7 linked regions of the Danio rerio genome follow. The protein of the gene in region 1 interacts with the protein of each later gene in a biochemical or structural test. Links are inferred from orthologs where the notes say so. Each region holds a gene or a part of one and is shown in the gene's direction. Other genes may lie near its edges. The genes, in order: si:ch1073-205c8.3, dcun1d4, nae1, smurf1, rbx1, dcun1d3 and dcun1d5.

The links.
Region 2: the proteins of si:ch1073-205c8.3 (region 1) and dcun1d4 form a complex in vitro, tested with the Homo sapiens proteins (3 studies listed by BioGRID). The link is inferred for Danio rerio from reciprocal best matches to the Homo sapiens genes UBE2M and DCUN1D4.
Region 3: of the proteins of si:ch1073-205c8.3 (region 1) and nae1, one has a biochemical effect on the other in vitro, tested with the Homo sapiens proteins (4 studies listed by BioGRID, with this or other methods). The link is inferred for Danio rerio from reciprocal best matches to the Homo sapiens genes UBE2M and NAE1.
Region 4: the proteins of si:ch1073-205c8.3 (region 1) and smurf1 form a complex in vitro, tested with the Homo sapiens proteins (2 studies listed by BioGRID). The link is inferred for Danio rerio from reciprocal best matches to the Homo sapiens genes UBE2M and SMURF1.
Region 5: the proteins of si:ch1073-205c8.3 (region 1) and rbx1 form a complex in vitro, tested with the Homo sapiens proteins (15 studies listed by BioGRID and IntAct, with this or other methods). The link is inferred for Danio rerio from reciprocal best matches to the Homo sapiens genes UBE2M and RBX1.
Region 6: the proteins of si:ch1073-205c8.3 (region 1) and dcun1d3 form a complex in vitro, tested with the Homo sapiens proteins (4 studies listed by BioGRID and IntAct). The link is inferred for Danio rerio from reciprocal best matches to the Homo sapiens genes UBE2M and DCUN1D3.
Region 7: the proteins of si:ch1073-205c8.3 (region 1) and dcun1d5 form a complex in vitro, tested with the Homo sapiens proteins (3 studies listed by BioGRID). The link is inferred for Danio rerio from reciprocal best matches to the Homo sapiens genes UBE2M and DCUN1D5.

The regions. Positions count from the first base shown.
Region 1 is NC_133194.1:51,592,438-51,597,080, forward strand, and holds the start of si:ch1073-205c8.3 (NEDD8-conjugating enzyme Ubc12), read left to right. Parts: upstream 1-1,600; 5' UTR 1,601-1,698; coding exon 1,699-1,813; intron 1,814-3,483; coding exon 3,484-3,578; intron 3,579-3,683; coding exon 3,684-3,722; intron 3,723-3,907; coding exon 3,908-4,011; intron 4,012-4,643.
Region 2 is NC_133195.1:25,823,959-25,828,557, reverse strand, and holds the start of dcun1d4 (DCN1-like protein 4), read left to right. Parts: upstream 1-1,420; coding exon 1,421-1,514; coding exon of another isoform or gene 1,515-1,526; exon of another isoform or gene 1,527-1,824; intron 1,825-3,922; coding exon 3,923-3,993; intron 3,994-4,599. UniProt on the Homo sapiens protein: Contributes to the neddylation of all cullins by transferring NEDD8 from N-terminally acetylated NEDD8-conjugating E2s enzyme to different cullin C-terminal domain-RBX complexes which are necessary for the activation of cullin-RING E3 ubiquitin ligases (CRLs).
Region 3 is NC_133182.1:45,347,076-45,350,567, reverse strand, and holds the end of nae1 (NEDD8-activating enzyme E1 regulatory subunit), read left to right. Parts: intron 1-2,488; coding exon 2,489-2,598; 3' UTR 2,599-2,749; downstream 2,750-3,492. UniProt on the Homo sapiens protein: Regulatory subunit of the dimeric UBA3-NAE1 E1 enzyme. E1 activates NEDD8 by first adenylating its C-terminal glycine residue with ATP, thereafter linking this residue to the side chain of the catalytic cysteine, yielding a NEDD8-UBA3 thioester and free AMP.
Region 4 is NC_133178.1:39,644,149-39,647,465, reverse strand, and holds the end of smurf1 (E3 ubiquitin-protein ligase SMURF1), read left to right. Parts: intron 1-659; coding exon 660-759; 3' UTR 760-2,781; downstream 2,782-3,317. UniProt on the Homo sapiens protein: E3 ubiquitin-protein ligase that acts as a negative regulator of BMP signaling pathway. Mediates ubiquitination and degradation of SMAD1 and SMAD5, 2 receptor-regulated SMADs specific for the BMP pathway.
Region 5 is NC_133178.1:23,848,503-23,853,195, reverse strand, and holds the start of rbx1 (E3 ubiquitin-protein ligase RBX1), read left to right. Parts: upstream 1-1,843; 5' UTR 1,844-1,878; coding exon 1,879-1,956; intron 1,957-3,469; coding exon 3,470-3,548; intron 3,549-4,386; coding exon 4,387-4,457; intron 4,458-4,543; coding exon 4,544-4,629; intron 4,630-4,693. UniProt on the Homo sapiens protein: E3 ubiquitin ligase component of multiple cullin-RING-based E3 ubiquitin-protein ligase (CRLs) complexes which mediate the ubiquitination and subsequent proteasomal degradation of target proteins, including proteins involved in cell cycle progression, signal transduction, transcription and transcription-coupled nucleotide excision repair.
Region 6 is NC_133199.1:43,233,933-43,238,265, forward strand, and holds the start of dcun1d3 (DCN1-like protein 3), read left to right. Parts: upstream 1-1,290; 5' UTR 1,291-1,664; intron 1,665-4,333. UniProt on the Homo sapiens protein: Contributes to the neddylation of all cullins by transferring NEDD8 from N-terminally acetylated NEDD8-conjugating E2s enzyme to different cullin C-terminal domain-RBX complexes and may play a role in the cell cycle progression by regulating the SCF ubiquitin E3 ligase complex, after UV damage.
Region 7 is NC_133193.1:3,852,802-3,857,506, forward strand, and holds the start of dcun1d5 (DCN1-like protein 5), read left to right. Parts: upstream 1-1,674; 5' UTR 1,675-1,769; exon of another isoform or gene 1,770-3,876; intron 3,877-4,705. UniProt on the Homo sapiens protein: Contributes to the neddylation of all cullins by transferring NEDD8 from N-terminally acetylated NEDD8-conjugating E2s enzyme to different cullin C-terminal domain-RBX complexes which is necessary for the activation of cullin-RING E3 ubiquitin ligases (CRLs).

The DNA.
Region 1 (4,643 bases):
GTTTAACCACAGTATTTTCTCCGCAGCTCTCCTGTAGCGCTGCCGGGGTCACAGATGATCAGGGTTTGAGAAAACACAGGAGTTAGCGTTTACTTCTGCATGTGCTTTCACTGCCAACGACAGCAGATACACTTTCTGTCAAACATCACCCGAGTGCTCTGAGTGTGCCGGCCTTAATCCACAGCAAACCTGACTACATGGAGGATTTCCTCATGTCACAGTACTGGGGATGTAAGACTACAGTGATGGATGACTGAGGTAACTACTGGCACTGTGGTTACCATGGCATTTATACAGTATGTGGGTTACGCTGTCACACACACACACACAGACAGGTGAAATAAGGGCCTAAATGACAGAAGCAGAGCAGAGAACACACGTTCATCACAAGCACAGCTTTACCATCAGTGGATGAACACACACACACACACACACACACAGCAGAGAGAGAGAGAGAGAGAGAGAGAGAGAGAGAGAGAGAGAGAGAGAGAGAGAGAGAGAGAGAGAAAGCGCTAACCAGCTAACCAACCCTCACACAGTCCAGCGGCAGCAGATCGCAGGTCTGAAACACACACACACACACACAAATAAACAGACACGCTAGTTAGCAGGTTAGCAGCTCCATCCAGCAGCGCTACTAACCCTAACCAGCAGCTGAGGGAAGAGAATTTGGCCCAGGGTGGGTTAGTTTAAATGAGCAGTTCTCTCCCTCACACACACACACACACACACACACACACACACACACACACACACACACACACACACAGATGACTAGCTGAGCAGCACACAGGACTGCCGTTAGAGAAGCAGCCTATCTAGTGCCCTCACCTGCTCGTGTGGAGGCGCATACTCTCTGGCCGAGCATCGGACTGTTTCTGCGGCGGAACACAATGAGCTTCCGTGTTTCTGCTGCTCAGCCCTCTCACCGAGCCGTTACCGACACCGAGAGGCTGATCCCGGTCCCTCAGCCCTCCAGCCGCTCAATCCCCGCCGTGTGGATCCGCAGGCCGGTGTTCGGGAGCGCAGCGGCGGATAAACGTGTCTTTTGTTCGCGCTCCGCTATTGTGCTGCTGCGCGTCTGATGGCGGATCCGCGTTCATTCAGCAGCAGACGCGGGAAACGGGCCACAACCTCTGACAGGACGCTGACGCCATCACATGCGATTCTGCTCCCCGAAATCAAATAAATAAATAAATATGGTAAATAAAAAATATGGAGAGTAAAAAAATAGCAAAGCTCCTCCCAGTCCTCTGGTCACCGCCGAACGGCACTATGGGAAATGTGGTCCGCCGGTGCCCTACCCAAAACATCCGCTTTCAGTATCACCGCAGATTTATGATAAAACTGACACAATTATATAATAGCTGTTATTAAAAAAACATTCATCTTGACAACAACAACACTATCAACAATAAGAAGATTTATTAACTTTAAAGTATAAGTTTGCGGTTTCTGTCTAGTTAATTGTGTTCTGAAATCAGCTGAAAGAACAGTGTGTGAACAGAGCTAGCATTTGCGGCTAACACACACACTCACACAGGGAGAGAGAGAGAGAGAGAGAGAGACTGACTCACACACACCGGCTCCCTCTACAGCTGCTGTGAAACACACTCACACACACACACACACACACTCTCTCTCCCTCAGAGCGCAGCTCCCGAACACACCGCGCTGTTTGCTCTGCAGAGGCCGAAGATGATCAAGCTTTTCTCGCTGAAGCAGCAGAAGAAGGACGAGGAGTCAGCCGGCGGGCCGCGCGCGGGGGGCGGCGGGAAGAAGGCGAGCGCGGCCCAGCTGCGGATACAGAAGGGTGAGAGACACACACACACTCTTGCTCTCGCGCACACACATATACACGCACGCAAACACACCGGGCCGGTACCGGAGCTCGCACAGCCGCGGGGCCGCCGACCGGGTCGCTGAGGAGAAACAGCGATAGCGTTAGCATTAGCCGCGCGCTAACAACATCCGGCGCTCCTCGGAGATTCTGGCCCATAAAACAAGACAAAACAGACAGTTTAGACATTCACAGTCCGAGCAGGAGGAGAACACCGATCAACCGTCGAGCTGCGCGGACAACTCTGCGTTTCTGCCCGCGGAGAGGTAAAGTTTAAGTCTCAGTCAAAACACTGAGGCCTACAGACCCGGAGGAGGAGGAGAGCTGGAGCTGTTCATAACCAGAGGAGACCTTCAGCAAAGATCTGCTGTGCTCCACAAACCATCCACACGATATCACACACACAGTAACAGTCAAACTGGAGTGAGTGTGTGTGTGTGTTCATACAGCTGAGCAGAGTCTGGTCCCCATTCAGCAGAAACACCAACTCGGCTGAGGAAACACAGCCGATACTGATGAGGAGAAACGGCTTTAAACACACACACACACACACACACACACACACACACACACACACACACACACACACACACACACACACACACACTGTTTTAACTGTTCCAGGGAAGTGTCCTCAGTTAAGTTAATAAAGCACAGTGTGTTTTCGGCTGTTCTCCATCACTCACGCTTTATTTGCTCCACACCTGTGAGTTACTTCTAATAAACACAAAAGAAGATAGTGTGAAGAATGCTGGAGGAATCTGGCTTTGACTTCCGGTGTTGGTTTTTCCTACTCTGGACCTGAAAGTTTGCAGTGTTGTTCAGATGTGCTGCTTTGAGAGGTGAGCGGTGTGTACATGAGCAGAGCTCTCCTGCGGGACCCTTTAACACTCTTACACACTTTGAGTCTTGTTTTAAGACCCAATCACGACCGCTGTAACAACAATGACGCGGCTTTAATATTTAGATGAGCGTGAACAGAAGCTGAAGATGCAGAGGAACAGCCCCACTGCTTCTGTACAAACCACCGACAGCCAATCAGAATCAGCCTGCGCAGACGAGGATCATGGGACGCTGAGCTCTGGGTGATGGCACTGCCTGTATGATGCTGTAGTTCATGTGTTGTTGTATGACTTGTTAATCTACGCTGCGGCTGACATGGCCACAACACATAAACACATGATGACAAGCCCTGATCAACACAGACGGCTGATGGAGGAGTGTGGAGATCAGCACCTCCTCTGTGTGCTTCTGCTCATCAATAATGACTGTACTGGCCCACACTGATGAAGAACAGCAGGAGATGAAGCAGCCGTGGTGGAGCAGAGAGGTGTGCACGTGTGTTTTTGTGACATATCAGGACACAAATCTGTATATGACAGGTGTAACACGGGTATTACAAAAAGGTGAAATCTGTGGACATTGGTGACGTCCTCATTTCTCCAAAAGCTTCTAAATCCCACTGAGTGAGGGAGAGAGTAAAGCTGCACACCGGCTCCTGTGATGGCTCGGGTTAGGGCAATACTGTATACGGTTTGAACAGTATAAAATTAATGGAAACCTATGTAATGTCCCCGCTTTTCACAAAAACAAGTGTGTGTGTGTGTTAGAGAAAAGCTAATGCTGCTGTTTCTCTTTGTCAGACATCAATGAGCTGAACCTCCCGAAGACCTGCGAGATCGTCTTTCCAGACCAGGACGACCTGCTGAACTTTAAGCTCATCATCTCTCCAGACGAGGTGTGTGTTCTGTGTGCTGAGGAGTGTGTGTGTGTGTGTGTGTGTGTGTGTGTGTGCTGATCTGGGGAAGCGCTGTACTGACCGCTGCTCGTCTTCTTTCCTCAGGGTTTCTATAAAGGAGGGAAGTTCGTCTTCAGTTTTAAGGTGAGCAGCAGAGGGGCGAGCGGCGCGTCCGTGTCCAGCTCTCTCCAGTGTGCTGTCGCCGCTGCACTCACACTGTTCTGCTTGTTTCTGTAGTGTTCTGATCTGTATGTGAGTGATGTTGTGAAACTTCCGTGCGCTGATCTCTGCCGTTGTGGGAAGGTTTTTCTGACGTGTTTCTCCTTTAGGTAGGGCAGGGTTATCCGCACGACCCCCCCAAAGTCAAGTGTGAAACGATGGTTTATCACCCCAACATTGACCTGGAGGGAAACGTCTGTCTAAATATACTGAGGTATGGTGTGCAGCTTTACACTGTTGCTCATCTCCATCTTCTTCCAGCTGAACACATTCATCTCTTAATGCTCAGGCTGTTTCTACATGCATCTCTCATTTCTCTTTGCTATTTGGGCTTATTGGAAGCTGATTAGAATAAAACGTGAGGATCATCTTCTGATAAGATGTACTTTTAGAGGAAAGTGATGTTCATATATGTGGACTGAATGTACATAAACACTGTTTCCTGCCTGTCTGTAATGCATATTTAATATAGGAATATTTTGAACATGTTTTGACTATCAGAGAGTGAAATCAACATTTTTGCCCATTATGGACGGTTAAAACAGTGTTTGGGACACGTCATATGCTGCAGAACAGTTGCAGGATGATTCTGTGTGTCTGTAACAACATATAAAACACTCAGACTATCTTAAACAGACCCTGCAGAGCTCGAGTGATGTAAAAGATCACACTGTGAAATGTGTTGAATGCTGCTCCGCATGAGGGACTGGATGGTGTTCTCCCACCTGATGACTTGGTTTATTAATGATCAGCCCGCTTCATCATGTACACACTGTAAACACACGCTCTTCTTCTGTAATATAAAGGATATTTGGATTATTTGACAGATATTTGAATCGGTGTTCT
Region 2 (4,599 bases), on another chromosome or scaffold:
CAATTGGACCTAAAGCTTGCACACACTGTTTGTTTAATTTAGATTATCCGCTTGTTAAGTGTGACGTCACGCGGAGCAGCTTCCGGGTCCAAACGCTCTATTCAACTGAATGGGGAAATTCATGAAATGGTAATAATAAACGTTTACAAAGCGATTTAGTACTTTAGAAAGTCACGATCGCAATATATATGTCTATGCCTAATATCCGATAGCCAGAAAGTGATTCATTGTTTTATAAATTGTTAAAATTTTGGTATTTGTTATGCAGCAAGCCCGGAGATTGTTGTGTACACTATGACTTTATGTAAAATTAACTTTAATGTGTGATAGGAATAAAAAGTGATCATAAACGAAAGATTTCTCCACTCAAGTGAATGGCGGCTTGGACCCAGAAACAGTATTACATACGTCACAAACACGTCACCACTTAACAAGCGGATTTTATGATGATTTATGCATGAAAGTCATCCCAATCAATCTAAATTAAGGAATTCTTTTCAAATAGAGCTACTTAAATCGTCGGGTGAAATTGTAATCATATTGCAATACATTAGAGAAGAATAAAGGACTAAATATTAAAATCTAAGATTTCTCCAATATCATGCACCCTTGCCATCAGTGTATTGTCAGGAAGCAAAGGTAATCATTTTATTTTCCCTATATATTTTTTTCAACAACATTAGCCATTTGTGTAAAATAGACCATTTGACACTGGGCACTGTCCATGTTTTCTTGTATTACCCTATGGTATTACCCTGATATACACACAAACAGACATGAAAATTTGCAGCAATGTGCCCTAAATGCTCAATTCTGTCATAACATTGAATTTAATGCCTGCGAGGTTGCCCTGTACACTCTTTTTCTGTTCATCAGATATAAGTCATAACGTGTTATAATATAAACAGCATGAGAGTAAGAAAATGATGTTTTTGGGGCGGTGAACTCCTCCTTTATACACAATAGCTTACATAATTGGGGTTCCTGCTCCTTGTGATGTTTTCCATTCACTTTCGCAACTTTTCAAAGAAATGTTTTGGACGACAGTAGCGCACAATTAACCTAAAGCAGTCGCCTCGTTCAGTAGCCTAATGTTTTTAACTGTATTTTCCCACCATTGTTTTGTTAGCCCAAGTGTGCTCTGTGTTGGTGTACAGCTGAGCCAATAGCATGTCATCGTGGGCTGGCTTTCTTCTATGCACGAGGAAACTATCGTAACTGATGGGTGTAGACATACTTCTAAGCCAATCACGAACGGCGAGAGGTGGGGTTGTTGAAGCATTTCAACCAATCACGTGGGTTAAAAGGCGGGATGTACACAATGTTTCTGGCGCACTGTATTTGACACTCCTCTCGACCAATCATGGACACGAGTGAGCGTGGCCACTGAAAATTTCGGCCATCTAAATCATTTGTGGGCATGTGTAATGTTGACGTGTCCCGCCCACTGGCCGGTCTGCAGACTCACACAAATACAGTTGTGTGTTTCATAAAAATGCACTCAGATGCGTCAAGTAAGTACAATAGTACGTTTTCACTGCTTTTCGTTTTCTGTCGAGCTGTGATGACAATTGCGTGCTTGCTGCATCCTGACAAGTCGCCGTGACTTCTTTTAAGATGTATGATTCGCTGTGTTGACGCATTTTGTGAGTAAAGTAGCCGTTACCGGAGCATACAGATCACCAGATTGACTCTGAGCTTGCTAGCTGCTCTCTTTGTGTAATTACTCCGATGTTTTGGGCGCTTGCAAGAGACAACGACCTTCGTTGATTATCGTTGCATTTTAGCATTCTGTGCTTGAGTATATACAGCAATCCGAACAAGGTATCTGATCCTATTTACACAATACACTTGTACACTAATTACCTTTAATACCCAAATAACCTTAAGGCATCCATCTCCTGACAACTCGAATGACTAATGCAAAGCCACCGACGTGCAAGTGAAAGGTTGTTGTTTTGAAGCTAATCTGCTCAGTTTTTTTTCGAGAAAACTGCGGAAAAATGACAGGGGGTGAAAATTGTGACGCAGTTGTGTAAAAATTTAGTGCTTGCAAACACGTCGAGTGTGATCTGGCGCATTACTGTACGTCCCCTTAAAAGACAAACTGCGTATCGTTGTGAAAGGCTGTCTTTTTTAAAGATAGAAAATCTTTTTTGCAGCATTTGGGTCGCATTCATCAGTTGGGGAGAGTACCGATTGAAATTATGATTTGGGGAATTCTGGGAAATGTGGTTTATTCAGCCGACCCGTGTCGTTGGCAGACGCAGGCGTTGTTTGTCATTAGACTACATTCCCCAGAAGCTCGCACACTCTCTAGATACTTTGTAAAGTCGTCGCAAGTTATGCGTGTATACATATCTATGAGCTTTGTGGCAGAAAATCAGATTTTAAACTGTAGTCAGCGTAAAACTGTGAATGTTTGAAACGTGCTGGTGTGATTTTAACTAATGTTGTGTTTTACAATTTTGGGGGGATTTCATAAAAACTGGCATTCCTGACAACTGCGTCACAGGTTCACACAGGTCTCGTTTTATGTAGGGTTTGCATTAATGATGCACTGCATTAGATACCGGCAACTGTTTAAATAGTAGACATTTCATCGTACCTGAAGTTAATGCTGTTTCGGGGTCTTGGCTGTTGGCATAGCGTTCATATTCAGAGGCCTGCATCGATACACACAAACACACATACACGTATATATTTCTAGGTCCGAATATTAGAACGTGTAAGCTCATAATAAGTGTAAATAATCTAATCATATGCTGGCGTCAGTATTAAAGTTTTGATCATTAAGTATGCATTTGGCTATTATTAACCTAGTTTACGTGCTTCCTAAACGACTAGCCTACGTATTAGGGTATGAATATAGTGATTATTGGGTATAATGTTCAATTAGTGAGCTACATACTTGCATGTCAGTGCAAACATATACATAAATAGTTTGACGAATACAAAAAATTACATTAAAACAATGTCTATTACAATGAATAGGCATTTACAATATAAACATTGAATTTGATCATATTTGCCAGTTTTCTTTCCCCCTTATCACATTTAAATATAAGAGATACCTAAAATTAAAATTAGACTCCTTTACACCCAAGAAAGTTATCCATTAGAGTGCATGAGAACAACTCTTCTTGCAGAAGTGTAATGGGTGTTTTGAAATTTACCTTTGACCTTTCAAAATGCATCTATTTACACTATAATTCCCTTTTTTGGGGTTTAATCAGATTAAGTCCTCTGAATGGAAAAAAAAAAACTGAATCTAACAATAATAATAATAATCATAAAAAAAACTTTAAAGCGACATCACGTTCCTTCCTACAAAAACTTTTTATTTCCATCATATCACACACAGCTGATTAATGCACCTTCTGAGTGTTAGGTTTAATACAGTTATTAGAAATATTTGTGGATTTTATTAAATATTATTTCACGAGGTTTGCCTCATATTGTTAATTATCTGTATTTGGGTATAATCTAAAGTCTTGGTCCCACACATTTATTCTGAATATTTTTACAATAATATTCTGATATTAACATGCAAGAGAAAGATGACCTCCACACTGACACCTTCTGTCTTGGTGATGAAACCATACTTGACAGCATAAAGATTATGAATAACAATGTTGGTAGTTGCCTGGCTGTACTCACCACGAAGGCACAAAGAACAGTTAAATGTATTCTGGATACATTAGTCTATTAGATACACTTCTGCATCTCACATTGCTTCTCATATTTCTGTCACTCTACCAGCTCACTGGAGCGGACGTTCACCCCCCACCATATCCTCATAGACTGGAAACATGTTAACACAAACACGTACACAAACAACCCTTAAAAACCATGTCCATTTCAGAAGCTTGTATACATGTGTATAAAGTAACAAATGTATATTTTTATATCTCTGTCATAGATTTCCAGCTGAACTCTCATTTGTCCACACTGGCCAGTATCCACAAAATCTACCACACCCTGCACAGGCTGGTAAGTACAGTATGGACTCTGTTTTGCATGTATTTAAATACCCAGCAGTTATATTGCAAGAGTTAACATTCAAACCTTTATATTATTTAAATCAAGAGGGATTATAGATGGGATTTGGACATGTTTTCATTTTTAGGGTTTTTTGTAGCAGGTTGTGACTTTCAGAATATATTTGCTCTAAGGTCCAAACCACAGTTTGCCAATGTTGCAAGATCAATTTGTGTGTTGTTTACAGTTCAAACTTGGTTGGTTTGGTGTGATTACTCTTTTAGTGTAGTTCATGTGAGTATGTGTGGAAGCTGCCATACATACCTTAGTGTGGACCAAATAAGTGGACCGAGACCACTGAAAATATGAGTTTTGGGTTCACTTCTAGTTTATCTTTGCTTTTTGAATGAAATATGAACACATGTAGGCGATTTCGGACACAGCCAGTGTGTTAAGATGTGACCATAAAAAGCATAGTATGTTCAAGCTAGTTATGTGTTCTCTTCATAGTTGAAATTACAGCCTGTTACAGTTCAGTACAGATGTCAGAAAGGCATCTTGTTTGTTTGTGGGATGAAGGAATTTCTGCCAGTGTTTTGACTTTGCATTTTAAGCTCT
Region 3 (3,492 bases), on another chromosome or scaffold:
TACACATGCGTAGACGATACTTTTCCCATCCTTCTCAAAAACAACTGGTCCAAAAGACATCAATCAAGATTTGGATTTTACAATATTCATCCAGAGAATGATCACACAAACATGCCTATCTGGCTTTTCATGATGGAGGAGTGGTCGTTTGAGTGCGCTGAATAGCGAAAAGGGTACGCAACATGGTTAGTCTACGTTAATTTAAGAAATTGACCTGGAAAAAGTAGATTGATTATAGGTTCTGAATGTCGATTTCGATTATTTTTCGATTAATCGCCCAGCCCTTGTACCACTCTAAGACTGGCTGATTAATCGAAGGTCATTTAATACATGATTTAATCCTTAATACATTACAAGTCACTTCTGGATAAAAGCATCTGCAAAGTGCATAAATATTCAAACAAAAGAACAGTTTATGTAAATATAATAAATATAAATGATTGTTTGCATTTTTAATAATCAGAAAGCACTTGACTACATTATTGTGGGGTGTAAATGCATCCAAGATGCTTTGATTTTGAGTGCATGTGGTAATCAGATCAATAGAGGGTGCATTCAGAGGTGCTCAGGGACAGCTCTGACGTTATTCACTGAGGTTGTAAATGCTTTTTCTTTTTTTGTATTCAACCACTTAAGCACCATGTGGTACTGAGTGATGCGCTATAAACCATTATTATCTATTATATACAGAGCAGGTTGAACATTTCCTGTCGTACTCTATTCATTTCCATCTGACCTTGATGTGATTTATGAGTTTCTGTGACAAAAGCTCCTTTAATTTTCAGTTTAGATCACAAACATTAATTAATGCTAGCTATATTAGCACTCAGATCAGTTGATGATAACTTTGATTTTCTTACACCGTACCCCTAACATTTGTGATGTGTCCATCAGATGCAAAACAGCTACAAGACACAGAATCAATTAAAAATAGGGGCTTCCGCAGTGGATGAAACTTTTCATTCATCCTGTTGGCAGAAGTACACAATTTTAGGGTCTTTTCAATCCAGAAACTTGGAGTGGTTTTAGTTCCAGGAACACCAATTGGGGGATCAAAATTAGCTCCTATATCAGAATTGGGTCTAACCCAGCATTGTATTTAGGGTGATGTAATTGATTAGGCAAACAAGCGCCATATAAAACACTGGCAGCACGATATTTAAAAAGACAAGACATAAACATGCAGATAAGTAATATTTCTGGGGTATTTACAGTGGGTTCTTTTTTTTGACTCGATAATATGTAGCGCAACAAGTAGTTATAGCAAATTTTTTGCATCTTTTTGCTCTTACAGTCATTTTTTTTCTTGTGAAGCTCTGAAGTAACATTCTCTATATGGAAAATGTAGTATTTTGGGGGACCATCCCTCTGAGTTCCTATAACTATTTGATGTCTAATACCCCAGCTGATAAGAAGTGTGTGTAGGCAGATCTCTACCTAATTATGAAATGATTATTAAAAACACAAATCTCCCTTACCAAACTGCAATTTTTGGAGTTCACAATTGGTCATTTAAGTTTCTTTGTACTACATCTTTACAGACTTAAGTGTAATTATCGATTTTCGCTTTCATTTTAACACTTTTTGCACTGAGTATCAGGGAAGTTATAAAAATATGATGCTGCTCCAGCCACAATATTACAGTAATCGAAATTGTGGTTGTGTCTCAAATGATTCACCATAGAGCAGGGGTCACCAATCTCGGTCCTGGAGGGCCGGTGTCCCTGCAGGGTTTAGCTCCAACTTGCCTCAACACACCTGCCTGGATGATTCAAGTATACCTTGTAAGACATTGATTAGCTTGTTCAGGTGTGTTTGATTAGGGTTGGAGCTAAAATCTGCAGGACACCGGCCCTCCAGGAACAAGTTTGGTGACCACTGCCATAGAGTATGCACTGTGCCCTTTGCATTTAGTGTTGTGCAAAAGAGGTATTAAAGGTGAATATTGTGCAAAATAGGTATTTAAGGTTAAATATAGTGCAAAGGAGTTATTTAAGTTTGAAGTAAGCAGTGCAACATAATTGTGGTACATTTATAGTAATCATCCTTTTTATTATTGAGTTCTTGTAAGATGGAGTTTACCTGAAGTGTCAGGTGCATAAGAAAAAAAAGTGTTTCTACAGGTGGTTTGTCAAGCCCACTCACCTAAATGAAGCACAATTTGAATTGCACAATGTTTTCAAGAGATATGGAGTGATTAAGAAAGTGTTCATAGTGCAAATGTGTTTACATATTTAAGGATATTAAGTACAATATCATAGTTGTCCTCTATCAAAAAGCTTCTGATTACCTGTCAGTTATTTTATTTGATTCTCCCCTTTCTTTGCTCATGTCTCTGTCTTTAAAAAACTTCTTTTCACTTTTATTATTATTGTATTTTTTTTAGCTTGTAATTGATTTTATATATAAGACTTTCTTCATATCCTGAATTCATTCATTTATGATAATGTCAGTTGTAATGAAGCCCAGTGTCTGTTTGTTGTTGCAGGATCAGCGGCTCAAGAGGCCATTAAAATCATCACGCACCAGTTTGTACCTTTCAACAACACGTTCCTCTATAACGCCATGTCACAGACCTCTGCGACTTTTCAGCTGTAAAACAGTCATCTCCATCTGTTTCTCCATTCCTCTGTCGAAGTGCTGGCCTCAAATTGGCACTCAAGTTTATGCTTGCATTGGTCGATGGTGTTGCTTTTTAGACAAGACTCAACACTGATGCTAAATACTGAATAAACAGTGTATATCCAAAGGTTTTGTGTGTGTGTTTGTGCTCTTTTTTGTTTTACTGAAGACTGAATGGCTCTATTGTTATATTTATATAGTATTTGCAAAATACTGAAAAAGGTTTTTATAAATATCAAAACTTTAATTATCTGTAGTTTTTTTTTTTTTTAAATAAAATATGTTAGGTTTGTGCCATGTTTGTCTTTATTTGTAGAGAACAACAAAACCACTGTTTAATTATAGAAGGGTTTGGTCGAATGTCTCTCATTTTTAATCACATTAAAAAAAATCAATAACAAACATTTATTATTTTGACCAATGGTCAATTTCTGAAAGTGAAATTACGTTTTTTGTATGAAAATTAAATTACATTATTTGTCAACTCATAATTATACTTAATTAAATATTAAAGGGAATTACTTGGAAAACATTTCTTTTCTATCACAAATATAAATAATGTACATTAAAATACTTCATAAACCTAAAGAAACTGATAATTGTATATATTAAATACTGAAAGGGATAGTTTTCACCCAAACATGAAAACTGACTCACTATTTACTCAACTTCAAAGGGTTGCAAACCTCTTTCTATTGTTAAACCCCCTTAAAAAATTCATCAGCCTGTCATTGAGCAGAGCAAAGATAGGTGACATTGTCCATCGACAACATGGCGACTGAGACCACATAATAAGCCCTTAGAGGAGAAAAACTCAAATTTCAAACTGCAGCTGATCAAATCATTATTAAACAGAAAAGTGACATACTA
Region 4 (3,317 bases), on another chromosome or scaffold:
TCATCTACAGTCATTAGTAAGCCAATCAGATTAATCCAAACTCACTATAAGTAGCCTGTCTAAAACTACTTTGTTTTCCAAAGAAACCCCCCCCATCCACTTCTTCTCCCCCTTTTCTCCTTTACCAGGGGGAGCTCTCGAGAACTACCTGATCTCGTACTCCCTTTACATGCTCATTGACCAGGCGGGAGCCCTGGGATCAATAATCTCCAAGCTCAGGGTTCTCTCCCGGGACAGCATGCCAAACCTGCTATTATTATCAAGCAATATCTAAGTGTGAACTCTTGAATATTTGCAAATGATATAGATAAGGGATGGGCAACTACGATCCTGGAGGACCACTGTCCTGCAGAGTTCCGCTCTAACCCTAATCAAACAGACCTGCCTGTAGTTTTCTAGTGATCTTGAAGACACTCATTAGCATGCTTGATTAGTGTTAGAGCAAAACTCTGCAGGGCAGCGGCCCTCCAGGACCGAAGTTGTCCATCCCTAATATTGGATTTTTAGATTATCAAACATATTTACACAAGTGAATCCCTACAATACAGTTTGTTTTTGCTGGTGCTAGTTGATTGGGGTCAGCTTGGTGTGTCCCGGCCCTGAAACTAAACAATTCTCTTTCCAAAATACTTAATCTAATATCTCTCATATTCTTTCAGTTTCAACCGTATCGACATCCCGCCTTACGAGTCGTACGAGAAGCTGTATGAAAAGCTCCTGACAGCAGTGGAGGAGACATGTGGTTTCGCAGTGGAGTGAGCAAGCGCCCTGTCCAGCCAGCCAGCAATGGCAGCAAAAGCCACCAAACAGCCCCTGCCACCCTCTCACACCCCTCCCCTTCTGCAGGACAGACGGACTGGTGTCTCCCGACAGACTTTAGCATCACACTGCAGTGGAGGGCAGCGAACACCCTAGGTGTTTCAACTCATTGACTAATGGTTTTGGCATTACCACAACGAGTTCCAGAGGAAATGTAGTTTCTCAACAATGCAGTTGGTATCGTCTTTGTCACTGAAGCGGCGGGTTGATGCGCGAGTGTGTTTGTGCTGCAGTACATAGAGCCTCGCTGAGCCCGTGATCTACTTGAAGTAGAGCTCACGTTTTTTTTAGTCTAGGGGGAGGATTTTAACACACACACACACACTCAGAGCCTGTGACCGTTAAACCAGTTTACCTACAGAAAAATGTGTCTCAAAGGACAAGGCTTGCGTTTGTCATGCTCGATGTATGTAAACGTCTCCAATTGTTTTCCTTTTTTTTTTTTTCCCCTTGCGTCCCGTTTAGTGCTATAGGATGACATTTCAGTGGTATCCATTTCCTGTGCTCTTCAGTTCTCATTGTAGAAATTTTAACTCGATTGCTTGAAATGTATTGTTGAAATGATTATTACTATTATTTTTGTGTCTAAGATCAAGAACATGCTTGACGGCGAGTCTTAGTCCTGTTGTGGGAACTGAATGTACCAGCGCCCATGTGTTCATGTTGAAGCACAACCATCGTGTGCGGTCGAAACACCAAATGTTCTCACGGAGTTACAGTATTTTTGTCGCAGAACTTCTTTTAACCCTTTTTTTTTTTTATCCAATGTAAGCAAAACATTTGAATTTGAAGCATGTCACCTTCTCCAATGGCGTTCGGCTTCTTAAACCGAACTCGTAAGAAGATCAGATGCTTTAAAGAAGCTCTTCTTGTCCTTAATTTTGATGGACCCCGTTAATCTTTTCCAAATGATTATTATATGGTAAGCATTAACCGTTTTAACCTACCGTAAACTTGACTGTTATTTGCTTGTTTCGTTGATCAAAACCACTGCTTCGTGGAACATTCGGCACTTCCGCTGGCACATGTACGATCGGAGTGGACGAATGCTTCGCTCCTAGACTCTGACGGAGAGGCTTTTCTGGTTTTGGTGTGCTGAAAGAGCAGGGAAGTGTTCAAGATTTCATTATGTAGTGCTTGACGTGCATGGCACCAGATTATTCTTTGTAAATGTAAAGGATGAGCCAACCTCATGGTGTTTCTTCAACCACTTTTGTCCTTTTTCTTTTCCTCCTAATTTTTTTTAACCAATTATTTATTACCATGTAATGTCTTTTTAAGTATTGCTGCTATTACCATTATTCCATAGTTTTCAGAGAAAGCTGAGTTCTTGTGAAAGCTGTACACTAATCTCTTTTATTTTATGTATGAATCAAAGTATTTAAACCTGCTGCTGATTCTTCAGGAGGTTAAGAGGATCGGTTCGCCTGATCTTTTGACCTGGATGGAGTTGGCGAGTGATGTAGGCCAGGCCCCGGTGGTCATGTTCATATTTGTGATATATGCAATAAAATCCATCACCTTTTTATTCTTGGTTCTGTCTTACAATGTCTTCTTCCTCACTTCAGATCGGTTGGGATGTGTCTTTGACGAGTGTGCAAAAATGAAGTTTTCCAATTTTCCAAAAGACCGTGAATGCCTACAGTGGTGAACCGTTTTTAAAACTTGCATACAACACAAGAGAGGTGATGTTTAATGTTGTGTAATTGTGGGAATGGCTAGTGAGCTTGAAGATGAGTCTGGACTTTGCCTGAAGTTACAGTTGTTTTCATTTTTCTCTAAGAAAAAACTTTTTTTTTTTTTTTTTGGAGTAATGTGACCAGTATCATCACATTGTACAATTATTAGGTCCTGAGTGTCATTGTTTATTCGATGCAAGAGTAATGTAACTTACTATGTACTAAACATTTCTGAAACAAATTCAGTGTAAATAAGATTATATTAAAGAAACTAAATTGCAAATCCCTTCCTCTTGCTCGTTTCTTTGAACTTTGTGTGTGATTTTTTTTTATTTATTTTTTTTTGCAATGAATGTTAACAAAAGTTAGTAATCTGCCTGTCGTATTTCTTCCAAAATATTGGAGGAACAGATGAGAAAATGTGCTTTTGACATTTGTGCTCTTGACTCGAAAGGATTGGTCTGTGCAAGAAACCTAATTTACAACATTATTATCTTTTAAAGGGTTATTTCATCCATAAATGACAATTATGTTATTAATTACTCGCCCTCATGTTGTTCCAAATCCTGAGACCTTCGTTTATCCTCTGAACACAAATGATGGTATTTTAGATGAAACCAGAGAGCTACCTCACCCTCCATTGACCACAAGGGTGCCGTGATGAAGAAAACAAATCTAAAACGGTGTTGAAACGGTGTTGAAACAGTTTCAGCTAACAATTTAACATTTTTAACCCTTGTGTCGTGTTCACATCCCGCCCATTACTTTAGTGTTCCCGGTCAAAGTTGACCGGTTTGTATGAACTGCTCTTAAATTAGA
Region 5 (4,693 bases), on another chromosome or scaffold:
ATTAGGCCTCAAACAAAACCACAATCTCTTTTAAAGTTATACGCTTAAGTGTCTTACTAGGCTTCAGTTTATGGAACCAGGTAAACACTGCGGGGACGCTTACCTGCTTCAGCCAATGTAACCCGGTGAGCGATAAAACAATGCAGTCCTCTCTAGCACACCATTGTGTTGTCAGTAATATTGTTGTCCCGGTACTGAAATTTAAAAAACTAACATTTAACATGCTAGCATTTAAGCGCCGTTGAGCACGTTTTTAAACTCCGCTGATCTGCGGTGAAATTACTGTTATCGGCGGTGATTGTCATCAGTTTACCTCTCTTCACAAGTGCAAACACAGATACACGGACACTGGAGCGTTTTAAAGTTCAGTCAAGTCATCAGCAGATCGCTTGTCTGCGTTTGCATTCTGTAAACATTGGTGAAGTGCAGTGAACTGATGACCTTTACGACCAATCACAGTCATTTCTGTTAAGCACTGGTGGAAAGAAAACATTTGCTAACTAGTGCCATTTCCCTTAACTTAGGGGAAAATAAGGTCCGATATGCCTTTTTATTTTCACCATGCATTCAGAAAGGACCTTCGGGTCACTCGGAAAGTGGTGAAATTATAAATTTGTGTTCACTGATAAGATATAAATCCAGGTACACAACAATACGCCATCTTGGATGCCGTTCCTGTGTGACTCCAGGCGTTACTTCCAGGTTTATTTCCACTGCAGACTCTCTTTCGCTTTTAAAATGGAGGCTGTGTGAAGTCTGTAGATCATATTTTTTCTTAAGTAACTATTGTCTTTAAATGCTTTAACTGCTTATGCTGGCTTGCCCACACTAAGAGATAACGATAAATATATACATATTGATGACTATATTGTTAGGATTAAGTAGTCGTACATGTGTGTTTTTTTGTTTAAACAATACAATTATTAGCTAGCTACTATGTGGTAGTAGCTCTGCAGATTTGTTTACAGGTAATTCTTTGGTTGAATCTTTGTTGAATCAAAATTTGTGCAATTTTAATGCATCCACACAACAATAGTGTTTTGGGGCCTCTGAAAATACTTGTGTAACGTTATATGCTTTTGTGTGTGTGTGTGTTTGTGTGTGTGTTAGTATGTATATGTATATGTATATATATATATATATATATATATATATATATATATATATATATATATATATATATATATATATATATATATATATATATTTGTCACGCACTTAACTGTATGATATTACATGTTAAGTCGGTTGAGCATTCCAGTAACGTCACTTTATATGTAAACAAATGTGTAAAATAGTGGAAAAACTACGAATTGTGTATAGTTTACATAAGTCTACATGGTAGCTGTTCGCAAAACTTGTCAAAAAAAAGCAAATATGAATATGTGAAATAAAAAAATATATAGATGGCATTTAATGTTATCTGTAAATCCTGGTAACATGTAATCTCCTGTATCATTTCAAAGCTCTGCACTTGCACTGCACTGATTTGATGTATGTTGAACACGGTCATAATTATATAATATGCAGGATTCCGACAATGTAGTTTATAATAGTGGTAGGGTATTGTAGATGGTACAAATCTGGAAACAGTGGGCCTTAGCTTCCAACAGGTTCCATGGTGTAATGGTTAGCACTCTGGACTCTGAATCCAGCGATCCGAGTTCAAATCTCGGTGGAACCTAATCTTTTAACTCGACTGTAATTTGGACTAGATTGTGTCTGATTAAACTGGAATAAAAAAAAATATATGAATGATATTAAAAACATCATAGTATACACAATTGCTTTAATTCACACGTTTACATGTAAAAGATTATAAACCGAGTAGCTGTTCACTCTCACTCTTTCTCGCGAGATCATCAGACATTAGCAAACATGGCGGCCGCGATGGATGTGGACACCCCAAGTGGAGCTAACAGCGGAGCCAGTAAAAAGCGATTTGAAGTGAAAAAGGTAAGTAATTGTGAAGTTCACGTTAATGATTGCTGTCAACTGTTTGTTCACATCCGTTTAGTCTCTTTAAAATTAAAATAACACTCTTTCACCGCGGTGTGTTAAACCCAGTTAGCATTAGCCGCGCTGCTCTTTCACATCATCATTTTAATCACCGGCCTCTATGCTTTTCATGTTTACAAAAACCTCATAAAGTGTCACAAAAATGAGTACAAGCTAATGTCAAGCAAAAATATGTTACATGCTCGCCCAATGTGCTTCTTATTTGAACTCCGATAAATTCTGCAGCGTAATCCCAGAGATTATTGAAGTAGGCCACTAAAGAACGAAATACAGCGCTGATCATTCCCAGACCTTGGCGAGTTTTTTAGGCAAGATTTGTGGACACTGCAGCCGCTTACAGCACATTCGATTCTAACCGTTTGAGGTTCATAGACGCATTCCGAACGCTCTATTCGATTATCGGTAGACGTCATTTACATGTTCCCAACGTTCGTTTCCATCACTTTTAGTCACCATAGTGACATTCCGAACATTCCATTTAAACACATTTACCCCCCTCAAAGTTCGATGCAAACATTTTAGTGAATTTCACATATTACACACGGAATTGAACATTCTATAAGTGTATACAATGTACAATAAATTATGTTATACTTATTACTTAAGTAAATTTTGACTTGTGTGCATCCTTTTTAAAAGCTAGGTACGGACATGTTTGAATGTTATAGACCAGGGGTGTCAAACTCAATTCCTGGAGGGCCGCAGCCCTGCACAGTTTAGTTCCAACCCTGCTCCAACACACTTACCTGTAGGTTTCAAACAAGCCTGAAGGACTCTATTAGTTTGATCAGGTGTGTTTAATTAGGGTTGGAACTAAACTGTGCAGAGCTGCGGCCCTTTTGGAACTTGACCCTTTTGGAGTTTGACACCTGTGTTATAGACAGATATTATACCTAATGTTACTCCATTTCATTTTCATATTGATTTCAACAATGTCAGCCATTGAAAACACCCTCCAAATGCTTGATTTTTAACAGTTTCTAGTATTGCAAACTTGTTTCAAATATTTGTTTCCAACAGTGTGAGGCGTTGCAAGCTCATTCTCAATGTTCAATTCCAACAGTTTCAGGCATCATAAACCCTTTCTGAATGTATATTTTTTGTGGAATATTGTAGTTGGTTTCCAGATTACCAATTTGTAATCTGGATTCAAAACGATCACCGTGAACGGTTTGAATTTAGATATACTTTTTAAAAAATGTTTTTAAAATAAGTTTTCATACTGTACTCGCATACTGTTTTCACAACTTATTTTCACTATGTTCCTTTACAAATGTTATGGCTGCTGGCTTCTTTTCTTCCTCATTATGATGTATAACTGAGTGGAAGCGCTGCTCATTGGTGGAGGATATTTAGGCTTAGTTTGTGTCTGTACATGTGTCATTAAGAGAAAAGGTGCTGTTAGCATTTTTAATAAAGATTATGATTATAAACTCTGCTTGTCTTGCAGTGGAACGCTGTGGCTCTGTGGGCATGGGACATTGTAGTGGACAACTGTGCCATCTGCAGAAATCACATTATGGACCTCTGTAAGTATAACAGCTGCTTTAGTCTTTTAGGTTTAGTCTAGATCAGGTGTTTTCAGCCCACGACCCCCAAAATAACAATGCCAGTGACTCGCGCCTAGCCGTGGGATGAAAACCGTGTTCAATGTATATCAAGGTTTGGAAAGGTCAAGGTTTTAAAGCCTTCAAAATTTTCTCCTATACCGTTCCTAAGGTATGAGTTCGATCTTTTTTTTACTTTTTATTTTTAGGACAGTAGTATCTCCAGAAAAGATATCCAAAGATGCCATTTTTAAATTGTAAAAATAATCAGATTTTTTTAAAACAAATGAAGACAGCAGAAGTCAATAATTCATTAGAATTATTTAGCCTGACATGTTTACTTCTCCAAAACATTTTATATGTTTCCCAAATTTACATATAGTGTGTACAAAGGGGAAAAGGGTTTTGTTTTGTACCCAGATATTTAAAAAGATTATATTTTAGAGCAGTTATCTCAATACTGTGATACTGTGAAATACTCAATACTGTGAGGTACTCAATACTGTGATACTGTGAAATTTATTTCCGAGGTAATCATACCGTCAGAATCTTATACTGGCCCATGCCTACTCACGACCCCCCAATATTCTCTAAGGTGGTGATGAATATTTAAACCTTGCACACATACCAGTAGGCCCAAATCTATTCATTGTTTAATTTTAGAGATTGCCACTGTGAGAGCTTGCTCCATGTTCTGTTGTAGCCTGTATTATTTTTAATGTATGTGAAAGCTGTAAAGGTGTCAAAGTTTAACCCCCACTGTGGGAACCACTGGTCTAGATGAGCTGTAGCTGATCTGTAACTCTTGTGTTTGCTTCAGGTATTGAGTGTCAGGCCAATCAGGCGTCTGCCACCTCAGAGGAGTGTACGGTGGCCTGGGGAGTCTGCAATGTGAGTATAATCACACACACTTTGAGCTCTGGGTTTGTTTGGTGCTGGTGTAATGCTGGTGTGTTTGTTTTTGTGTGTGTCTGCAGCACGCTTTTCATTTCCACTGCATCTCCCGCTGGCTGAAGACCAGACAAGTGTGTCCACTGGACAACAGAGAGTGGGAGTTTCAGAAGTAAGTCTTTTTGATTCTTCATTCAAATCAAGTCAAATTCACAAGCTTCGTGTAAGGGATAGGT
Region 6 (4,333 bases), on another chromosome or scaffold:
CAGAAAGTGAAATGCAGATAAAAAGAGAAGGGTATAAATGGAGGTCGGTGCCAGCTCCAAGTGGGTGGGCCTTAGAGCTCCAAGTGGGCTGTGCAAACCTTATTTAGTTGTATTTAGAGTTCAATATTGTGCTTTATGAATGTGTACACCTAACCCTAAACCCAACCTCACAGTAACCTGATGTGTTTTATTAAGATCTACTTCACCTACACCACTTAAACCCAACCTACTTGTGGTTTAAGTCCCTCCCACTTGGAGGTCACCCAACCTACTTGCGGGGTAATCCCTCCCACTTGGAGGTCTTCGGGCTACAGCAATACCTACTTGTTCATAGGAGGCATGTCTGGGCATGCTGTACACGCCCCAGTTCCAGTGTCTCCGCCCCCTTTTGAAATCAGGGCCAGAAAGTGAAATGCAGATAAAAATGTGAAGTGCAATTAAAAAAAAAACAGTATTGCAAACTCACGGTTGACTGAAAAGCAAATCAAAATGAGCATTGTACACATTGCAATTGACTTGAGAGGTTTTGTAAAGGCAATACTGGAAAACAAATATTTAGCAAATATATGTATAATTTATCCCAATTATAAAATGTTCTTTGCACTACTTGATTTTTATTTACAGTTCTTTATTCTTGTTTGCAAAATTCCTTTTTATTTCTCAAAACTCAATATAGCATTTTTTTTTGACATTTGCATTATTTTTCTATTTTATTTTTTGTTTGCAAAACTTTCCTTCATGTTGCAGGTATATATGACCCTAGATTGACTCCATATCTTTCCACTACTGCTGGCAGGTGTCAGAATGTTACTTTAACCATAACTATAGCTAATTATCATCATAATCATGTTCAAATCTTCATCTAGCATTAACTACAAAACAAAAACAGACACCAACAGTGACCTGAAGCGCGTGACAGGGTTTGCGTGACCTCTATAATAATGTTGGATACGCTGTCAATGAGCGATTTGCACTTATCGCATGAATATCTGGCAAGCATTATAATTAAACAGCCTTTTGTTTTCTACATAATAATTCTAGCTGAACTCTAAATGAGCGTTACCTATGTGCGTTCACATCAGCTTATGCGAGCATCTCCGCACTTCCGTACTCCGCCGTCCACGTGCTTGCAAATGATGACGTCCTCAAACTGCGGAGGTTTTTCGTTTCAAACCAGTCCGCGACGCTCCCGGTGTTGCGCAATCGCAAAAAATCTGCGAGGTGCTCGCGTCGCTCATCTCTGCGTATCTTTTGCGCAGACTCTGTCGGACCCAAACAAAAAGAGAAACTGCGATCAATCAGCGGCCGATCCGCGATTCTCTGGTTCCGTGTGGTCGTGTCGAGTTCATCGGGATCATCCGGATTCTTCAAACATTGATGTAGAGGAGTGCGGGATCTGGGGAAGGCGGAGGTTTAACGGGAGCCGGTCCGGATCAGCGCGGGTTCGGTTCGGGCACGGGGGTCTGGAGGACGTGAAGCTGTGAAAATGTCAACAATGATCATCTGATGAACCAAAAATCACCACAAGCACAAGAGACGAGCTTTCCCCTGCTTCAACGCAGATCCAGAACCGATCCGGTTCGGCTGAACGCTGGGATTAGCTTTAGCTTTAGCATGACAGCAGGGATGCGCTGACTCTGACCCGTTTCATCGTCTTTCCACAGGTAAATCAGCACAGAACACGCTCACTTCACACCTCCTGACATGTTCACGTCCAGAACGAACACGTTTGAGAGTTCAAATGAAGTTTAGTGCTTATAAATGAAGCGCACTCTCATCTGAAGCTAACCAGCTAATCTGCTAACATGAGATCAGCTCTTTAAAAGACTTTAACTGTCATGCGGAGCGTTGTTTCATTCACATACAGCCATGTATCAGAGCTGTCCGTATGATTACAGCGTGTTCAGGCTGGATATTTACTGTATTTCTTACAGTCGTAGACAGTTAATCATTATTTAGAGGAAAACTTTCTCATTTATCCTGACAGAGACTCTTGGCTGTGGCTCAAATCTATGAGCTGCTTACCTACACAGCTTTATGGGAATCAGATATCGCTTTGCATGCCTTTTAAAGGCTGCATATTTAAAATAAATACAGTCTATTTAGGATTTAGGTGTCATGGGCATTTGCTTATGGTGATCAACATGTTGCCTAGTGCCTAGGTAGACTGCAACTGTGTAAATATATCTATATGCTGTAACAAATAACAGATTGTGACAGGAATGGAGATTTAATATCAGAAAACTGACATTAAATACATTTTAAGTTATCCTCACTTACTAAGAAGTCCACGCTTTTAGTATGTTTTTTATTATTATTATTGGTTTACCAATGACTTTTGAGGTAATATAGTTATTAATTTTTTTTACTTGCCTTTTAAAAACATGACAATTTAGGCCAAACTCAATCCAAACATAATCTTGCACAAACTGACTGAGGCATGTCAGATATACAGTGAATCAAATATAAAGCCATACAATTACACAAACATACACATTTATAAAACAATTTATAACCTTTTATCAAATATCAAAATATATTGTACAATTTATAAAATATCATAACAAAAAAAGAACAACATGCTGCGCAGACATCAAACAGAAACTCTGCAAAGGGTTAAATAGAAGCATATTCTTGAAACAAATCATACAGTTGTATATAGCCTTCTCACACTTCATTATTTTTAAAGCTTCTGCGTATGTGGCAGACTCCTTTTTAAACGCAGTCAATTGAGGAGCTGCTTTCAAAATTTAGCATTTATGAATGAAGTTTTTAAGTAAACTAGTAAACAATTTCCTCTTTGCTGTCCAAATTTACTCCAAATTTTACAATGTTCTAACAAATAGAAGGAAACATTGAAATTTATTGTTTTATCGAATTGTCCACATCAGACCAGAAAGAACTAACCAAATTACAATGAAGAAATAGATGGTCAACCGTTTCAAGATCACAGTTGCAGAATTGGCAAACATTACAAGGTACTATAGTCTAGGACAGGGGTTCCCAAACTTTTCAGCCCGCGACCCCCAAAATAACAATGTCAGTGACTCATGACCCCCATTTTTCAAGGTGGTTACACTGTAAATATATAAACCTTGTAGACACAACTATAGGCATGTATAAACATGAGCACATTGACAACACATAAATGCAACAGTCTATTAACCGTATATATTTTTTATATTCATTTATTAATTTATAATATAAAACGTAAAGGCTGATGACTTTGATTTTTATTTGTTTATAATAGATAATAATAATATAATAATAATTTTGTTTTTGTTTATTTGTATGTTGTTGTTTATTTAACACAACTATTATCTTCTGTGGGTTATGAGTAAAATATGGTCATTCAAATAGTTTAATAAAACTTATTTGACTTTGGAAATCACCAAGCGACCCCTTGTCATTGTTATGCGACCCCCCAGCGGGTCCCGACCCCCACTTTGAGAACCACTGGTCTAGGATTGGGTTTTACAAACTGAGATCTGTTTTTTCTTCTTTATTATTATTATTTATTTATTTTATTTATTTATTTTTTTGTGAAAAACCTACTTTATTAAACGAAAATGTTTACATTAAATAAAAAAAGTGTAAGTAAATTAATATTACTTTACTATAAGTAAAACAACAGCATACTATTATAAGGCAAATCCTATACACAGTTTAAATTGGATGTTTGTTTTTAAGAAACTTCATAGATGTCTTTTATCGGAAAGCTAATTTTACCAGCAAGTCCTGTTATAAACACACCACATATTAAAAAGTAAGTTGCATTGTGATGATTACATTAAGATGTTTTTAAACGTACAAAACTGTTAGCGCTGAGATCAAAAATAATCGAATTTTTATCAAAAATAAATCTTTTAGATTTGTATTTTATGTATCATTACATTTTTTAAATGTATTTTTATTGTTATAAACCTTTTTGGTTGTAGGAAAGTGATCTTAAAATTAAAAAATGTTTATAAATTGTATCTGTTTTTGCCATGAAAAAGCCAAACAAACTCTCTCGGATGTTGCTAAAAGGGATACAGCTGTGGCCAGAAGTTAACAAGAATAATTTGTTATTTATTAAATAACCTATTAATTGTATTTTATTATTGTATACCCCAACCCTAAACCCAACTCTCACTGTAGTGTAAAAACAATCGTTTTACAGAGTGTTATTCATATTATATATTAAATTACTTATTAAATTGTATTTTATTAACTTCTACCCCTACATCAACCATTATAGTAATGTAAAACAGCAATTATACAAAGAAATATTCACATTATTTATTAAATTGCCCATTAAATTGTATTTTATTAACTTCTCCACTTACGTCAA
Region 7 (4,705 bases), on another chromosome or scaffold:
AATTATATAAAATGTGAAAAGTGTAAAGGGAAAGTAAAACATATTTAGTTTACTCTTCACTTGAACTTTTATTAGGCTTTATTTGATTTTAGTAATTTTAATATAGAGATTTTATTATTATTCATTATTTTTTATCAATGTTTTCCCCATCTTTCATTCATTCAGTCATTTTCTTTTTTTTTTTTTATAATTATTTTTTAGGGGCTTTTCACCTTTATTTTGATAGGACAGTAGAGAATTCGGACAGGAAAGCACTGGGAGCAGAGAGAGGGAAAGGATCGGCAAAAGACCTCGAGGCGGGAATCGAACCCGGGTCACCACGAGCACACTGGTGCTATATGTCAGCACGCAGTACCTCTAGGCTACAGGCGCCGACATTCATTCATTTTCTTGTCAGCTTAGTCCCTTTATTAATCCGGGGTTGCCACAGCAGAATGAACCGCCAACTTATCCAGCTAATTTTTACGCAGCGGATGCCCTTCCAGCCGCAACCCATCTCTGGGAAACAACCACACACACATTCACACACACACTCATACACTACGCACAATTTAGCCTACCCAATTCACCTGTACCGCATGTCTTTGGACTTGTGGGGGAAACCGGAGCACCCGGAGGAAACCCACGCGAAGGCAGGGAGAACATGCAAACTCCACACAGAAACGCCAACTGAGCCGAGGTTCGAACCAGCGACCTTCTTGCTGTGAGGCGACCTACTGCGCCACTGCCTGGCCCTCCCCATCTTTATTATCTATTATTTATATTTAACATTTTATTTATACAACAATTAGCTGTTTGAGTAAATAGTCTAAAAAATGTATTTGTACTATACTATATATATATATATTCTTCTTCAATGTTTTAATGTAATAATGTGATTTTTCTGTTTATCTGGCAGAAACTCAAAGCCATTGATGAACTAAAGGAGCAGCAGGCTGCCGGAAAAGTCATGCAAAAAAACCAGGTACCACCTTTTTATTGTTATGTTTTTATATGCTACCCGACAAAGTCTTGTCGTCTATAAATTTTTAATAAGTTGACTTCTAGTTGATCAATTGGTGTCAGAAGTGGCTTAAATTCAATTAAATTCAATTCATGTTTATTTTTTAAGTGATTTTACTATGTAGATTGTGTCAAAGCCGCTTAACATAGAAGTTTTAGTAAAGTCCAGTTTTCAGATATGATAAACAAAGGCCTCTAGATTACACTTTTTTTTTACCAAAATAAAATATGATCATGCCTTGATTTAGCTTTCATAAGACCTTCATAACATGCTAAAACCATAATTATAACATTTCCCCTTTTTTACAGCTTGAGAAGATGCAGAAGGAGGCCCAGCTGTTGAAAGAGCTTGAAGACCTTGAATTAGGATTATAAACTCACTGTACCAGTTTTCTCCATTGGTCATCATTGGTTTCCAAGCATTGCTTTGTCATACTCTCATTAAAATGAATGGAGATGTTTTTCTTCATGTCCAATAAACAACAGCCTGTTTTGCTTATTTGTTCATGGCTAGAAATTAAGGACTACATTCTTAAAAGCAATATTGCTATGCAATGTGACGTACAGCACAAAGAAACACCTTGCAATGCGAAATAAAAATGTAGAAATTCAAACGGCGTGACTTTTATTATGCCGGTTGGGGCAGCCGGAAATGTTCCTTTCTCCGCCAGTGTGAAACTAAAGCAGCCACAGATTTCAGCACAACGCAGCTGAAATTGGTAACAAATAAACCGAACGGGACAAGCTAAAAGCAGCTGATATTTCAGGTTTGATGAGAAAACACTGCATTATGACTAGTTTCCTGTTTGTGGGGTGTTTTGTCGAGTGTTTATTCGTGATATTTAGATGAGCCGGTGAGCTACTGTTCATGTATGTTCATTTATCACATGCGTGTGTTTGTTTTTACTCAAACTGTCGGATGTTTTGACGATGTTTCGCTTTTTATACCTGTATAAACATATTTTAGACGATTTTAGACGTTTAGAAGAGTTTCAGGCTTTGGGTATGAAGCAGTTCAGCCATTTCAGAAACCACAAAGCGAAGCTTTTAGGCTCATACGTAACGTACATCGGGTTTTGTATCCGACAGTTGCTTGTATAACAAACCTTTAAACTTTTCCACATACATCAAACATTGCATTAATTGAGGGATTTACTACTGGAATTATATCTATGTGCCTTATTATTATTTCAATACTTTTTGAAAAAAATGAATATAAGATCAGTTATGTATGTGCTAATTTATTTATATATGTTATCAAACTGATGTTCACCGTTTACACATAAAACAATCAGACTTAAATTAAGTTTTAATAAAAATGTTTACCTAGCATTACTTCTAATACATTTTTAATAATTAGATTTTTTTCTTTCATAAGAAATGTCCTTGTCAAATCTTGTAACGTGTAAGTCGTGTATCCTACATTTGTTTGCATTATAACAAACCTTTAAACTTTTCCACATTATTCAGACATTGCATTAATGAAGGGAATTATTACTGAAAGATTAACTTCATCTATGTCTCCCTTATTATTATTTAAACAGTTTGAGAAATTAAATACTAAATCTGTTGTTCAGTTATATATGTTATCAAACTGATGTTCACTGTTACACATAAAACAATCTGACTTAAATCAGCATTAAATAAAACGTTTACCTAGCATTATTTCTAATAGATTTTTAATAATTCAATGTTTTTTTTCTTTCATTCTTTCTTAAAAAATGTCCTTGTCAAATCTTGTAATGTGTAAGTCTTGTATCTTACATTTATATGTAGCAAACCTTTAAACTTTTCTGTAAAAATCAAACATTGCATTAATTGAGGGATTTACTACTGAAAGATTAATTGTATCTTTGTGCGGTTTTGGTATTTAAATACATTTTGAATAATCTAAATCAATAAATAAATAGTTTTGTATGTACTAGTTCAGTTGCTTGTATAACAAACCTTTAAACATTTCAACATACATCAAACATTGCATTAATTGAGGGATTTACTACTGGAATTATATCTATGTGCTTTATTATTATTTCAATACTTTTTGATAAATTTCAATATAAGATTAGTTATGTATGTGCTAATTCATTCATATACATTATCAAACTGATGTTCACTGTTACACAGTAAACAATCTGACTTAAATCAGCATTAAATCAAAACGGTTACCTAGCATTATTTCTAATAGTTTTTTAATTATTAGTTTTTTTCTTTCATGAGAAATGTCCTTGTCAAATCTTGCAACTTGACTTGTATCCTACATTTGCTTGTATTATAACAAACCTTTAAACTGTTCCATATAAATCAGACATTGCTTTAATAAAGGGATTTATTATTGAAAGATTAAATTTATCTATATCTTCATTATTAGTATTTAAACAGTTTGAAAAACTAAATACAATATCTGTGGTTCAGTTATACATGTTATCAAACTGATGTTCACTGTTACACATAAAACAATCAGACTTAAATCATGTTTTAATTAAAATGTTAACTGTTTATCATTAGTATTTATAATACATTTTTAATAATTTGCTTATTTTCTTTTTTAGGAAATGTCCTTGTCAAATGTTGTCACTTGAAAGTTTTGTATCCTGCATTTGTTTGTATTATAACAAACCTTTAAACTTTTCCATATAAACAACCGTTACATTAATTGAGGAATTTACTTCTGAAATATTAATTATATCTATATGCAATATTAGTATATAATTCAATTTAAAAAGAAATCCTGTATGTACTAGTTCATTTATATACATTACCAAACTGATGTTCATTGTTGCACTTTAAAAATCTTGCTTAAATCAGCATTAAATTAAAATGTTTACATAACAACGTCAACTTTTATAATAGGTTTGAATAAACTGATGATTTCTAGTTAAATGACTAATGCACAACACATCTATCTATCATTTAAATTCATTTTTAAACATCAGAACAGTAAGAATAAATATCCTTGTCAAGTCTAGTAACACGTAAGTTGTTGTATTATAACAAACCTTTAAACTTCTCCATATAAAAAAAAATACATTAATTAAGGGGTTTACTACTGAAATATTAATTATATCTATTTATGTTATCAGTATTTAAAACATTTTAAAAAATCTAAATAAAATATCAGTTATTCATTTATATTCGTTATCAAACTGATGTTCTTCGTTACACACACATATTATGACTTAAATTAGCTTTTAATTGTTTACCCAACATTATTATGTTGGCTTGAGAAAGCCAACATACTGTAATGCTACTTAAACTTATTCTTATTATTATGTTGGCTTGAGAAAGCCAACATACTGTAATGCTACTTAAACTTATTCTTATTATTATTCTTATTATTATTCCGGCTTCTGACTCAAAAAAGCAATCGCTTCTCCTCCCAGGGCTTAGATGCTACAAGCCCCAAATTTGGTCAAAAGCTGCCTACTGCTCATGAGATGGTTGCTGTATGTCCTCATGCCGATAAGATTTGTAGTTTTTGAATAAATAATTTTTTAATTAAAAAATTGTATCGAGTATTTGGAGCATATAAAAAAGTATACAATCCTCAAATTTGGCCAAAAGATGTGTTTGAAATTACTGATAATTGTCATATTTATTTGGTGTAATTATAAATAACAGTTTTCCTATAAATATTTTTTTTTATATTAAATTTGTAAAATGCAAACAAAAAGCTTGTCAGAGTGTCCACGAGATGGCTCCAGAG